Anolis sagrei: one gene and its partner. The main gene of each other region encodes a partner of the protein of the gene in region 2 in a complex. Links are inferred from orthologs where the notes say so. Each region holds a gene or a part of one and is shown on either strand. Other genes may lie near its edges.

Evidence for each region. The genes of interacting proteins can lie anywhere in the genome.
Region 1: the proteins of NFS1 (region 2) and LYRM4 are in contact, whole or in part, in a crystal structure (PDB 6W1D), measured with the Homo sapiens proteins. The link is inferred for Anolis sagrei from reciprocal best matches to the Homo sapiens genes NFS1 and LYRM4. Residues at the interface, in NP_066923.3 of Homo sapiens: Leu56, Arg57, Pro58, Leu59, Pro68, Leu69, Pro71, Arg72, Leu74, Asp75, Leu78, Glu314, Tyr317, Arg321, Asp372, Arg412, Phe413, Thr414, Thr415, Glu417, Glu418, Tyr421; in NP_065141.3 of Homo sapiens: Phe23, Tyr26, Asn27, Tyr28, Thr30, Tyr31, Arg34, Arg35, Asp38, Val65, Arg68, Gln69, Ile72, Thr78, Asp79, Lys80, Leu81, Ile82, Ile83, Asn85.

Annotation. Positions count from the first base shown.
Region 1 is NC_090024.1:86,268,180-86,275,788, forward strand, and holds the start of LYRM4 (LYR motif-containing protein 4), read left to right. Parts: upstream 1-4,586; coding exon 4,587-4,672; intron 4,673-7,609.
Region 2 is NC_090024.1:207,092,771-207,100,586, reverse strand, and holds the start of NFS1 (cysteine desulfurase), read left to right. Parts: upstream 1-4,789; 5' UTR 4,790-4,837; coding exon 4,838-4,919; intron 4,920-7,816.

The DNA.
Region 1 (7,609 bases), about 120 Mb from region 2:
GGTTGTTTTTTGTAATAATTGTGCATTGTAATTGCTTATTGGTAATTTATGGATAATGTGTTAAGTCAATTGTTATATGTTGTATGGAACCACTGCTGTTTCTACTGTTTTTACTGTTTGTGAACCGCCGTGAGTCGCCTTCGGGCTTGAGATACAGCGGTATATAAGCAAAGTAAATAATATTGTGCTCCAAAACTCTGTCTGTCTGAATTTGGAAGTCCCAGAGGAGTTTGACGTGTTCATTTTCTGTAACTTTTTCCAGCTTGTGATCCCACCAGTTCTTTCTCGCAGGCAGATGGTATTTGTGGCACAAGTTCCAACGAATCATCTGAGCAACTGTGCTATTATTATTATTATTATTATTATTATTATTATTATTATTATTATTAGAGCTGCAAGACCAAGAACAAGCCACAAGAGTAAAGATGAAGATCCACCCAGAGGAAAAATGTTCCTGCCATACATCAAGGGAACCACTGACTGCATAGGGAAGCTGATGAGGAAACACAACATACAAACAATCTACAAACCCACCAAGAAAATCCAACAAATGCTACGTTCAGCAAAGGACAAGAGGGATCCTCTCACCTCTGCAGGAGTCTACCGTATACCATGCAGCTGTGGACAAGTCTACATAGGGACCACCAAACGCAGCATTGCCCAAACAAGAATCCAGGAACATGAAAGGCACTGCAGACTACTCCAACCAGAGAAATCAGCCATAGCAGAGCACCTGATGAACCAGCCTGGACACAGCATTTTATTTGAGAACACAGAAATGCTGGACCACTCTCACAACCACCATGTCAGACTACACAGAGAAGCCATTGAAATCCACAAACATGTGGACAATTTCAACAGAAAGGAAGAAACCATGAACATGAACAAAATCTGGCTACCAGTATTAAAAAATTATAAAATTGCAACAGCAAAAACAGCAGAGAGAAAAACAGGCAGGGACATCTAATCACCTTTCAAGAAGAGTTTGCTCCAGGCACAGTCAGCCCATTGTATGCTAATCAAGGTGGTCAGTTGAAAGATCCACACCCAGCCCAACTTACAAAAGCCTTTTGTCTCACCCTGGTCATTCCAGAGATATATAAACCCCCTTTTTTCCCAGCTCCAGCAGACCTCACCTCTGAGGAAGCTTGCCATAGATGCAGGCGAAACGTCAGGAGAAATGCTTCTAGAACATGGCCATATAGCCCGAAAAAACCCACAAGAACTGAGGGAATATTATTATTATTATTTACCTGGAATGCTACAATGGCAGAACTCCATCTTCGTAGTTACATTTGATAATTCAGAATTTCAGCCAAACGTTAGACAAAAGGTTTTTTTAGATTTTTCTAGAGGTAACTTTCCTAGAGGGAAGTTACTTTCATGTCCTGTCCAAAAATCGAAGATCCATACTTTGTTTTTTAACACAATTGGGAGGTCAGGAGTATTGTGCTCCAAAACTCTGTCTTCTTCTTGTTGTTGTTGTTGTTGTTATTATTATTATTATTATTCGGCAGGGCTTGGATAAGTGGTTCTCAACCTGTGGGTCCCCAGATGTTTTGACTTTCAACTCCCAGAAATTCCGACAGCTGGCAAACTGGCCGGGATTTCTGGGAGTTGTAGGCCAAAACACCTGGGGACCCACAGGTTGAGAACCACTGGATTAGATGAAGCAGTAGTAGACACCTCAGTTAAACTACTAAGCTGCTGACCCTGCTGACTAAAAGGTTTGTGGTTCGAATCCGGGGAGCGGGCTGAGCTCCCGCTGTTAGCCCCAGCTTCTGCCAACCTAGCAGTTTGAAAACATGCAAAAGTGAGTAGATCAATAGGTACCGCTTCTGCGGGAAGGTAATGGTGCTGGATGCAATCATGCTGGCCACATTACCTTGGAGGTGTCTATAGACAATGCCGGCTCTTCAGCTTAGAAATGGAAATGAGCACTACTCCCCAGAGTCGGATTCGACTAGTGTCAAGGGGAAACCTTTACCTTTACTAAACCAACTCGGTCGCTTTCACTATGTCACCAATTTGGGGAGATGGTGGTGGGGTATAAATAAAGTTTATTATTATTATTATTATTATTAAATGGGTAGAAAGGTGGGTAATGACAGTGCGACTAATCAAAATTGGGTGGAGGTAGTGCTTGTAGTTCTGGAGGGACTCTAATTTTTGCTTCTCATATATTTGGGATTGGGTTGACCTGCAACATTTTGGGGTTGGTTTGAACCCCTAAACCGCCCCTTTGGCTACGGCAGGGTTTCTCAACCTGGGGGTTGGGACCCCTCGGGGGGGGGTCGTGAGGGTGTGTCAGAGGGGTCATCAAAGATGTAATCTATGTAATTTCTTTATGCTTGTGGGTAAACAGTATTTCTTGTTGTCTCTTTGTCAGTGTTGATGTGGAAAGTGTCCGGTTTGCCTACTCTGGAAAATGCAATATATTATTGTCCTTCTTTAGGGGTCCCTTTAAAATCTATGATATTACATCTGTGTGTGTGTGTGAATCATATCTATCTATATATATCTATGGCTGGATGGCTCTTTGTCAGGAGGGCTTTGATTAGATTTTCTTGCCCTGGTGAAGAGAGTTGGACTAGATGGCCTCAAGTATTTTCTGTTGGTGATGGGGTTCAGCGTGGAAAATGTGTCCCAATTCTGTTGTTTGTGGGGTTCAGAATGCTCTTTGTTTGTAGGTGAACTATAAATCCCAGTAACTACAACTACCAAATGCCAAGGTCTATTCCCCCCAAACTCCACCTGTGTTCATATTTGGGCATATGGAGTATTTGTGTCAAGTTTGGTCCAGATTCATCATTGTTTGAGTCCACAGTGGTCTCTGGATGTAGGTGAACTACAACTCCAAAACTCAAGGTCAATGCCCACCAAACCCTTCCAGTGTGTTCTGTTGGTCATGGAAGTCCTGTATGCCATGTTTGGATGAATTCCATCATTGGTGGAATTCAGAATGCTCTTTGATTGTAGGTGAACTATAAATCCCAGTAACTACAACTACCAAATGTCAAGGTCTATCCCCCCCCCCCCCAAACTCCACCTGTGTACATATTTGAGCATATGGCATATTTGTGCCAAGTTTGGTCCGGATCCATCATTGTTTGAGTCCACAGTGGTCTCTGGATGTAGGTGAACTACAACTCCTACAAGGTCAATGACTGCCAAACCCTTCTAGTCTTTTCTGTTGGTCATGGGAGTCCTGTGTGTCACCTTTGGTTCAATTCCATCATTGGTGGAGTTCAGAATGCTCTGTGATTGTAGGTGAACTATAATTCCCAGCAACTACAACTACCAAATGTCAAGGTCTATTTCCCTTAAACTCCATCTGTGTTCATATTTGGTCATATGGAATATTAGTGTCAAGTTTGGTCCATCATTGTTTGAGTCCACAGTGCTCTCTGGATGTAGGTGAACTACAACTCCCAAACTCAAGGTCAATGCCCACCAAACCCTTCCAGTGTGTTCTGTTGGTCATGGAAGTCCTGTATGCCATGTTTGGATGAATTCCATCATTGGTGGAATTCAGAATGCTCTTTGATTGTAGGTGAACTATAAATCTCAGCAACTACAACTCCCAAATGACAAAATCATAATTTTTTGAGTGATGGTCACTCCTTGTGTTGTGAGATGTTTTGTAGCCAAATTTGGTGTGATTTTGTTCATTGGCTCTTTTGTTTTTAAGGTACTCATTATGCACAGAGCATTTATATATATATATATGGCACAAATCTATATATATATATATATATATATATATATATATATATATTTCTGTTGGTCATGGAAGTCCTGTATGCCATGTCTAGAAGGGTTTGGTGGGCATTGACCTTGAGTTTGGGAGTTGCAGTTCACTTACATCCAGAGACCACTGTGGACACAAACAATGATGGAGTTGACAAATCTATATAGGTTTGTGCCAAGTTTGGTCCAACTCCATCATTGTTTGAGTCCACAGTGTCTCTGGATGTAAGTGAACTGCAACTCCCAAACTCAAGGTCAATGCCCACCAAACCCTTCTAGTCTTTTCTGTTGGTCATGGGAGCCCTGTGTACTAAGTTTGGCCCAATTCCATCATTGGTGGGGTTCAGAATGCTCTTTGATTGTAGGTGAACTATAAATCCCAGCAACTACAACTCCCAAATGACAAAATCAATTTTTTCGAGTGAAGGCCATACATTGGGTTGTTAGGTGTCTTGTGTCCAAATTTGGTGTCAATTCGTCCAGTGGTTCTTGAGTTCTGTTAATCCCACAAACAAGCATTACATTTTTATTTATATAGATTGGGTTGACTTGCAACTTTTCGGGGTTGGTTTGCACCCCTCACCCGCCCCTTGGCTACAGGCTTGCACCAGAGTGCATAGCGAGGAGGGAGGCCCAGTGGCTCGCGCGCCCGCCTCCCACTCACCTTCCTCTTCCTCCCACGGCCTCCACGCGGGACTCGGCCGGCTGCTTTCCAGCGCCGGGCCCTCCTCTTCCGGGACCGGCCTTCGAGGAAGGAAGGAAAGGCAGGGAAGGAAGGAGGGAGGGCCTAAGAAGAGCGCCGGGGCCTGGAGGCGGCCTCCGCGTGTGTTGACAACATGGCCGCAGCCCGGCGGGCTCAGGCGCTGCGCCTCTACCGGGCCCTCCTGCGGGAGAGCCAGGCCTTCGCCGCCTACGGGTACAGGTAGGACGAGGAGGAGGAGGAGAGGCCTCGGCCCCGTCCCCACGCCCAGAAAGGCCTCCCTGTCCACAGGGTTTCCTTCATCCCTTATAGGCACCAGTGAATGTAGAAAGTATGCTTCCTAGCCTCATGTTATCCTCAGAAATCCACTGATCGGGGTGGGAAAACTTCAAGAGCTAATACAGTTATTATTATTATTTTTATTATTGTTATGAGCTAAGGACCCTTCACCTGGAAGTGTCTTCTTCATGGTGGTGTCCTTGTAATTATTATTAACTAATACCACCATGATCAATAATAACAACAATATAATTAATAATAATACTACCATGATCAATAATAACAACACAATAATACGACCATGATCAATAATAATAACAACATTAAAATCGTGTTACATAGTTCATGCTATCATTATTCATACCACTATGTTAAGTAGTAATAATAGCACAATAATTAATAACACCGCCATGCTTAATAGCAGTAATACCATAATTAATAATAACACCATGATTATTAACAGTAACACCATAATTAATAATAATACCTCTATATTATTAAAATTGTGTCATATAGTATATGGTATTATTATTATTATTCATACCACTATGATAAGTAGTGGCACAGTGGGTTAAAGCGCTGAGCTGCTGAGCTTGTTGACCGAAAGGTCTCAGAATGGCGTGAGCTTCCTTGGTCAGCCCTAGCTTCTGCCAATCTAGCAGTTCAAAAACATGCAAATGTGAGTAGATCAATAGGTACCGCAAGGAGCCCCCGGTGGTGCAGTGGGTTAAACCCCTGTGCCGACAGGACTGAAGACCGACAGGTCGCAGGTTTGAATCCGGGGATAGGCGGATGAGCTCCCTCTATCAGCTCCAGCTTCTCATGCAGGGACATGAGAGAAGCCTCCCACAAGGATGATAAAAACATCAAATCATCCGGGCGTCCCCTGGGCAATGTCCTTGCAAACAGCCAATTCTCTCACACCAGAAGCGACTTGCAGTTTCTCAAGTCGCTCCTGACACAACAAAAAAAAAAGATACCGCTCCGGCAGGGAGGTAATGGTACTCCATGCAGTCATGCCAGCCACATGACCATGACAATGCCGGCTCTTCGGCTTAGAAATGGAGATGAGCACCACACCCCATCTTTAATAATAATACCACCATAATATTAAAATTGTGCCACATAGTGTATGGTATTATTATTATTATTATTATTTATGATAACAATAATAACATTAATAATAATACCACTGTAATATTAAAATCGTGTTACATAATGTATGGTATTATTCATGCCACCATGATCAATAATAACAATAATAAGAATAGCACCATAACTAATAATAACACCACCATGATATGAAAATCATCTTACATAGTGTATGGTATTATTATTATTATTATTATTATTCATACCACCATGATCAATAATAACACAATAACTAATAATACTGCTGCCATCATTAATAATAACACCACCAGAATTAATATTAATATTAAATTGTGTTACATAGTGTATGATATTATTATTCATACCACTGTGATCACTAGTAATAATAACACCAGAATGTATAATACCACAATGATTAATAGCAGTAATACCATAATTAATAATAGTAACACCATAATGAATAATAACACCATGGTTAATAACAAGAATAACACCATAATTAATAATTATATCACCAAGATTAATAATAATAACACCATACACTATGTAACACAATATTATTGTTTATGGTGTTATTATTATGGTGTTATTGTTATTATCATGGTGGTATTATTATACACTATTACATAGTATATGGCATTATGAATCACAATATTTATTTATTGGAGTCAATTTTTACCCCGCTTTTCTCCCACACCAAGGCAAGACTCAAAGCAGCTAACAATACAATAAGAACATACAAAGTAAAGATTAAAACAGATTCAAACCAATAAATTCCTTATAGCAACCTGATTGAGTCTCAACCAATTCAGCAGTTTGTGGCAGCTACAAAAATGATGTTTCTGAAATATAACAACTTTCAAAGTAAATATTGCAAAATTTAACAGGAAATTGTACTTTCAAACCAGGAACAGAATCTTTTTCAAATTGTATGACATAGTGATAATACCACCATGATGAATATGACACCACCATAATTTATCATAATAATATGAATACAATGATAATAATGCTATAATAATACCACAATGATAGATGATAATAAAATACTATTATTAATATTAGCAATGTCAGGCTCTGCATCTCGTAGTGCCAGAACGCTGTCTGTTCAGTGCCTTCCAAGTTGCCCAGTCTTCTCTGTGCCCAGGAGGGAGTCTCTCATTTGGTATCAGCCGTAGATTGAGGTTCCAGGTTTTAGCCTGCCATTTTTGGATTATCATTTGTGGAGGCATTCCTGCAAGTATCTTTGTAGATCTTAGAAAACTATTTCTTGATTTAAGGCGTTGATGTGCTGGCTGATATCCGAACAGAGAATGGGCCAGAGATGTCTCTGCCTTGGCCCTTTCATTATTGGCTGCTACTTCCTGGTGGATGTCAGGTGGTGCAAAACCAGCTAACAGTATACTTCTTCCAGTGATGTGGGGCATGACATTATTACATTATTACATTATCCTGTGATAATGTGTATGTGTCATTAAGGGCCAAATCCATTATTTTAACTGTGAAATGTGTTCTACACTGGACATGCATATTCAGCAACAGAATAGCAAAGCTCAAGGGCAGATGTCTTCACTGTGTCTGGTTGTGATCCCCAAGTTGTGTCAGTCAGCTTTCGTATGATATTATTTCTACCACCCACTTTTTGCTTGATATTCAAGTAGTGCTTCTTATAAGTCAGAGCACGGTCCAGGATAACTTCCAGGTATTTTGATGTTGCGTCCTTGGGAGTGTTTCCTTCATAATGGTAATAGTATTAATAGTTTTTAA
Region 2 (7,816 bases):
CCCAAAGAACTTTATAACTTGAGCTCAACTAAAAGAAAAGGAAAAAAACCCCAACAAAAACAATTATTAACAACAACCAAAACCAACAAAATTTAACATTAGAGAAATTGACCCATTTCAGAATGCATAACGTGGTAGATCAATGAGTTTAGTAACTATTCAATAATTTCACTACTAAGACTTTTGTTTGGTGAAATGAAAGTGATCTGGACCTTGAATCTGTAGTTGTTTACACAGTAATAGACAAACAGTGGCAGAGCAATACCAATTTGGAAATGATTCAGGCTTTAAGTGCTCCTTGATTGCATTATTCATGCTCCTGTAAGGGAATGAACTTAATGGAAAGTACCTACTGAAAGCACCATCAGTGCAGATGCTTCAGAAATCACTCAATAGGAAGAATACAAGTTTTGAAACTCAGAGAGAGGAAGGCATGACACACTCAGCACTCAGGGTCTTGTAGCACATTTGGGGCAGCTTGTGAATCGGCACCACAAGAGAGGGAGGTACAAACTGCAGTTCCATTTGTCTGTATAACCCATTGAGGATGCATTATATTGTAGAATTACAGCAGTTTGGCACCACTTTAACTGCCACAGATGAATGCTGTGGAATAATCGGAGTTGTACTTTGATGTGGCACCAGCACTAACTGGGAGAGAAGATGAAAGACATTGCAAAACTACAACTCCCACAACTCTATAACATTGAGCTGTGGCAGTTAAAAACAGTGTCGAATTGCATTGATTCTACGTTTGTATCAAAAGGGTAATAATAAATAATAATAAACTTTATTTATACCCCACCACCATCTCCCCAATGGGGACTTGGGGCAGCTAACATGAGGCCAAGCCCTTTAAAATACAATACAACACAATAAAATACAGAATACAAGAAACAAAATGCATCAGAAAATAAAATTATAATAACAAAGTAAAATAATAAAGCAAATTCACACAATAAAATCAAACAGGGTGGGCAGGCCAAATTGATGAGGTAAAATGACAAAACCCTGGGTGAGGTAGGAATAGAAAATAGGTAAAGGTAAAAGGTTTTCCCCTGACATTAAGTCCGGTCATTTCCGACTCTGGGGGCTGGTGCTCATCTCCATTTCTAAGCCGAAGAGCTGCTGTTGTCCGTAGACACCTCCAAAGTCATGTGGCCAGCATGACTGCATGGAGTGCCGTTACCTTCCCGCCGGAGTGGTACCTATTGATCTACTCACATTTGCATGTTTTCAAACTGCTAGGGTGGCAGAAGCTGGGGCTGACAGCGGAAGCTTACACCACTTCCCGGATTCGAACCTTTCGGTCAACAAGTTTAGCAGCTCAGTGGTTTAACCCACTGCGCCACCGGGGGCTCCAAGAATAGAAAATATGTAAGGGAAAATGAAACAGTGGGGTAAGGCTTTCAGTTTAGAATGGGGAAAAGTGCATCATAGGGGTAACACAAATGGAATGGATGGTCACTCTCCAAAGGCACAATGGAAAAGCCAGGTTTTCAGGTTTTTCTTGAAGTCTGCTAAGGAGGGGGCTAACAAATCTGATTTAGTCAACTTTAGGTTCAGCTTTGTTATTTGACGTGCTGATTCAGAAAATTGCAGTGGATAAACCACATCAGCTCTAGTTTCTGATACAGAACATATCCCATCCAGTAGTCACTATCTACTTGCCAACAGAAAACCATATTTAATAAGCCTCGGCACTATAAGAGGGTTTTGTGTGACCAGTCGCGCTCGTTGCAACAGTGTAGTAACAGTGAGGCCATGAACTGGGACTGTGGTGCAGCTGGCTGGGAGTCAGCTGCATTAAGATCACTACTGACCAAAAGATCATGAGTTCGAAACCAGTCCGGGTCAGAGTGAGCTTCCGACCATTGTGTGTAGCTTGCTGTTGACCTTTGTAGCCCGAAAGACAGTTGCATCTGTCAAGTAGGAAATTTAGGTATCGCTTATGTGGGGAGGCTAATTTAACTAATTTACAATGCCATAAAATCTCCAGCAAGCAAGCAAGCAAGCAAAGAATGAGGAAGTACTCCATCAGTGTCTTAAATGGACGGTGAAGCGACAGCTCCCCTGGTGGCCAGAATTGTCGCATGAAAGCTGGAAAGTTAAATAGTCTCTGTGTGTCTGTCTATATATGTTGTGTGTCTATGTCCTTGAATGTTCGCCAGGTATATGTACATTGTAATCCGCCCTGAGTCCCCTGGGGGGTGAGAAGGGCGGAATTTAAATACTGTAAATAAATAAATAAACAAATGTTGAGGATCCCCACAGACCACAGGTTGGGAACTATTGATCTAGAGGGTTTTTGACTCTTCTCTGAAAGAAATGTCATGCTTTTATAAAAAAAAATATAATCTCCAAAAGAAGACAATTATGCTGGGGAAAATGGAAGAAAAAAGGAAGAAGGGCCGACCAAGGGCAAGATGGCTGGATGGGATCCTTGGAAGTGACTGGATTGACCTTGAAGGAGCTGGGGGTGGTGATGGCTTCCGCCCCTCCAGAGGAACAGTGGACATGATCTTCACTGGATGACAGCTCCAAGAAAAATGCAGGGAACAAAATCAACCTCTGTACATGGCATTCATGGACCTTGCAAAGGCATTCGACACAGTGAATCGCAGCGCTCTCTGGACCATCCTCCAAAAAATCGGATGCCCTAACAAATTTGCGAAAATCCTGTGGCTCCTCCATGATGGCAACAGTCTTGGACAGCAATGGCTCCCAAAGTGACCCATTTAAGGTGGAATCAGGCATCAAATAGGGAAGTGTTATTGCCCCAACTTTCTTCTCCATCTTTGGGAAGCCCTGGCCCTTGAGCGCTCCAGCTGGAGGTCAGCTGTGACCAGCAGTGCTGCAGAATTTGAAGAGAGAAACATGCCAGGAGGAAGGCACATCAAGCCAACCCCGACCGAGACCGCCTTCCACCTGGAAACCAATGTCCTCACTGTGGGAGAAGATGCAGGTCAAAAATAGGGTTCCACAGCCACCTACGGATCCACAAGAATACAGATCATGGAAGACTATCTTACTCATCCAACGAGGGATCGCCTAAGTGTAAGATGACGGCCGACAGGGAGCTCTGCTGTGGGCTGGTCCATGCGGTCACGAAGAGTCGGAAACGACTGAACGAATGAACAACAACAACTCCAAAAGGTTATGAATGCCTGTGATGTCTCGGCCTAGTTCATTTTCCTGTTTATTTCCCTGGAGTTAGACGGTTCCATTCTGTTAAGTTTTAGAGTAGGAGCTTAGGCTCCCCCTATAGGCTGAGCTCTTTGGTTCAGCCCATTCTGCCTGGTGAAAGACTTTTTGGCTCCATTCCTTTTGGTCATAGTTTATAGATAGTTGCCAGAAAAGTGTCTGGTCTGGTTTGCAGTCCGTACAGGCCATCCTTATCACATATTTGCTTTAGAGTTTATAGTAGATGTTATAAAGAATAGATAATATATGCTTCATAGAATTCTTAGATAATACATGCCTTAGAGTTTATAGTTTATAGAATACTTACCTCATAGATTAGAATATACATCCCCCAATAGTTAATAGTTATATATGCCATAGTTATAGCACACACTTGCCATAGTTTATAGCAGGGGTCCACAAACTTTTTAAACAGAGGGCCAGGTCACACTCCCTCAAACTATTGAAGGGCCGGATTATTTGAAAAAAACATGAATGAATTCCTATGCACACTGCACATATCTTATTCGTAGTGCAAAAACCACTTAAAAACAATACAATAATTAAAATGAAGAATAATTTTAACAAATATAAATTTATTAGTATTTCAATGGGAAGTGTGGGCCTGTTTTTGGCTGATGAGATAGGTTGTTGTTGTTGTGTACTTTCAAGTCGCTATAGACTTAGGTTGACCTTAAGCGAGGGCCGGGTAAATGACCTTGGAGGGCCGCATTTGGCCCCGGGCCTTAGTTTGAGGACCCCTGGTTTATAGAATACTTACCTCATAGAAATTATAGTTTGTTACCTCAGAGTTTATATTTCACTGTTCTAACACCATCATAATCAAACTGTACTTTTATACCTTGATTATTCAGTAAACAATTGTTGAACTTAATCTTGTTTGTAGAGTTTTATTTTGGGGGAATTATAGTAATTTAGGGCATACCGATGGTCACTGGGAAAATAGCCAGACACATTTAGTTTCTCATTAGATCTTCCCGGCGTGCCATCATAGCCATTTTCCAAAACCTAGGACTTGTAGTTTTACAGGGCCTTTAGCGTTCTCTGTGAAAGAGCTACCAAACGACAAAGCCCATGATTCCACAGCAGGCATGGGCCAACTTGGGCCCTGCAGGTGTTTTGGACTTCAACTCCCACCATTCCTAACAGTCTCAGGCCCTTTCCTTTTCCCCCTCAGCCGGAAAAGGAAGGGGCCTGAGGCTGTTAGGAATGGTGGGAGTTGAAGTCCAAAACACCTGCAGGGCCCAAGTTGGCCCACGCCTGTCCTACAGCATGTGACATAACCCAGGACAAGGCCTGTGGAGCTTTCCTGTCGCCCATGCGGGTCAAGGAGTCCTTTTTACCAGGGTCATTTCTCTTGCTCAATGGGAGAAAAGGAACTTTTTGCTAAGAAGGCTTGAGAGCTCCCTCCTTCTCCCCCCTCTCCTCAGAAGAGGCCCCCTCAAACAGCCCTCTTTACCTCGACCGCTCCGAGCTCCGCCAAACCCCGCTCTGCCTTCTTTTTCTTCCTTGGGGCGACGCTTCCGTCGCGCCCTGGTGATGTCACAGGAAACCAGCCTCCCTCTGGCGTCGTCTCTGAAGGAGAGAGAGAGAGAGAGAGAGAGAGAGAGCCAGGGCCAGGCAGGCAGGCGCGATGTGGGTGCTGAGGCATGCGCCGCGGCGGGTCTGGCGGGTCTTCCAGGCCAGGAGGCTCTCGGGCCCCGCTCAGCAAGAAGGTAAGCCTCCCCTTCGACTTCCTAAGTGCCTTCAGGAGTCACCCAGGGGCGGAAATAACGCACCCCTTGAACTGCCAAAGCTCAGTGTTATGGAATCATGATAGCAAGGCACCAGCACCCCTTGGCAAGGAAAGAGAAAGGCCTTGTAAAGCTACAACTCCCAAGACCCCATCGCATGCAGTCTTGGAGCTTGAGTTTTTAGGGAAAGCAGCTGGTGCGGCTTGTCAGGGATGGCAAGAGTTTTGTTGTGGCTGAGCAAGGGCAGACTGGTTATATAATCATCATCATCATCATAGAATCAAAGAGTTGGAAGAGACCTCATGGGCCATCCAGTCCAACCCCCTGCCAAGAAGCAGGAATATTTATTTATTTACTTTACTTTACTTGTATACCGCAGTTTCTCAGCCTAACAGGCGACTCAACGCGGTTTACAACAAGGATAAGATCAATCAACGATATACAATTTAAAACCATTAGAGCACAATATACAATATTGACACAACAATATTGCATTCAAATCACCCCTGACAGATGGCCATCCAGCCTCTGTTTAAAAGCTACCGAACTACAAACCCCATGATTCCACAGCAGGCATGGGCCAACTTGGGCCCTGCAGGTGTTTTGGACTTCAACTCCAGAGAAGCCATTGAAATCCACAAGCATATGGACAATTTCAACAGAAAGGAAGAAACCATGAAAATAAACAAAATCTGGCTACCAGTATTAAAAAACTCAAAAATTACAACAGCAAAACAACAGAGGGGAAACAAACAGGCACATAAAATCACTCTCAACAAAGGATTCCCCCCAGGCACTTCCAAGCCATTGAATGCTAATCAAGGTGATCAGCTGAAACATTCACACCTAGCCCCAGCAGACAAAAGTCCTTTGTCCCACCCTGGTCATTCCACAGATATATAACCCCATTTTTCCTACTTCCAACAGACCTCACTACCTCTGAGGATGCTTGCCATAGATGCAGGCGAATCGTCAGGAGAAAAATTGCCTCCAGAACATGGCCATATAGCCCGGAAAAACCTACAACAACCCAATAATAACTTTATTTTTATACCCCGCCAACCATCTCCCCTAGGGGACTCGGGGCGCCTTACAAGGACACGCCCAAAATTACAATTAACGCACACAACTAAAACACTTAACCAATTAAAACATCAGATAAAAACAAATAACAGCACAATTGAAAGCAATATAAAAATAATACGGCTGAAAGAAACATAGCTGAGGTATAGATTCAATGAGTGCAATACATTTTTACAGGAGCGCAGTAAACTGGGCAGGAAATACTGTCATAACACATGTTGAGACTGGTTGGCTTTCCCCTGACATTAAATCCAGTCGTGTCTCACTCTGGGGTGTGCTGCTCATCTCTATTTCTAAGCCGAAGAGCTGGCATTGTCTGTAGACACTCCAAGGTCATGTGGCCAGCATGACTGCATGGAGTGCCATTACCTTCCCGCCAGAGCAGTACCTATTCATCTACTCACATTTGCATGTTTTTGAACTGCTAGGTTGGCAGAAGCTTGGGCTGACAGCGAAAGCTTATGCCCCTCCCTGGATTCGAACCTGCGACCTTTCAGTCAACAAGCTTAGCAGCTCAGTGGTTTAACCCACTGCGCCACTACACATTAGATAAGATCTCAAGTTAGATAAGGTTTGCACTTTAGGCTGTATTTTTCCATTACTGCCTTTCAGTGTAGTTGTACTACTAGTAAAAAGGTCAAGGTTTGCCCTGACATCAAGTCTAGTCGTGTCCGACTCTGGTGGGTGGTGGTTACCTCATTTCTAAGCTGAAGAGCTGGTGTTGTCCATAGACATCTCCAAAGTGATGTGGTCAGCATGACTGCATGGAGCACCATTACCTTCCCACCAAGGTGGTACCTACTGATCTACTGATTTGCATGTTTTGCATGTTTTGAACTGCTAGTTTGGCAGAAGCTGGGGCTAACCGCAGGAGCTCACCCCACGCCCTGGATTTGAACCGCCAACCTTTCAGACAGCAAGTTCAGCACCTCAGCACTTCGCCACTAATACCACTAGTATTATTACTACTAGTAATAATAATAGTCATCATATTTTATTTGTTAACACCCCTCTTTGATGCAGTTAACAACATAGGGTGCATCTACACCAGGCATGGGCAAACTTGGGCCCTCTGGGTCTTTTGGACTTCCACTCCTACAATTCCTAACAGCCAGTAGGCTGTTAGGAATTGTGGGAGTGGAAGTCCAAAAGACCCGGAGTGCCCAAGTTTGCCCATGCCTGATCTACACTGTAGAATTAATTTATTTTGGTACTGCTTTGGGTGGAATAGTACAGTGCTATGGAATCCTGGGAGTGGTAGTTTGGTGAGTCACCAGCAGAGAAGGCAAAAAACCTCCTAAAGCTACAACTCCTATGGTTCCCTAGCAGTTAAAGTGGTGTCAACTGCATTGATTCTACGACATATGTAATCATTATAGTTAAATTACATAACTATAAATCAGATGTAATATTTGGTGATAGTGGAAGCAGAGCGTGAGTAAGGATTTTGTCAACAAAGGTATTTCACGCACCATCGACCCGGATAATTCGGGCTGTGACAAATGTCTTCCCTCCTCCCTGCATTAGCCCATGGTTCAGACAGGAACAGCTCTTTCTCCTAGCGTTGCATAAGTCTACATTTCTCTTCCTCCTTTTATAACCCAGGGCAGTGTAGTTGTATCCTGCTGTCAGTGATGAAAGACTTATTGATGCAAAGCTACTGCAATTTCTTTCGGAGGGAGTTCTTTAAACGAAAGCTCTGAGTTGATAGATTTGCTTTGGTAACTCTAATGGGAACCCAGTAGCATACATCTGAAAATGTTTTGACAATGAAATAGACTACTTTAAACATTAGC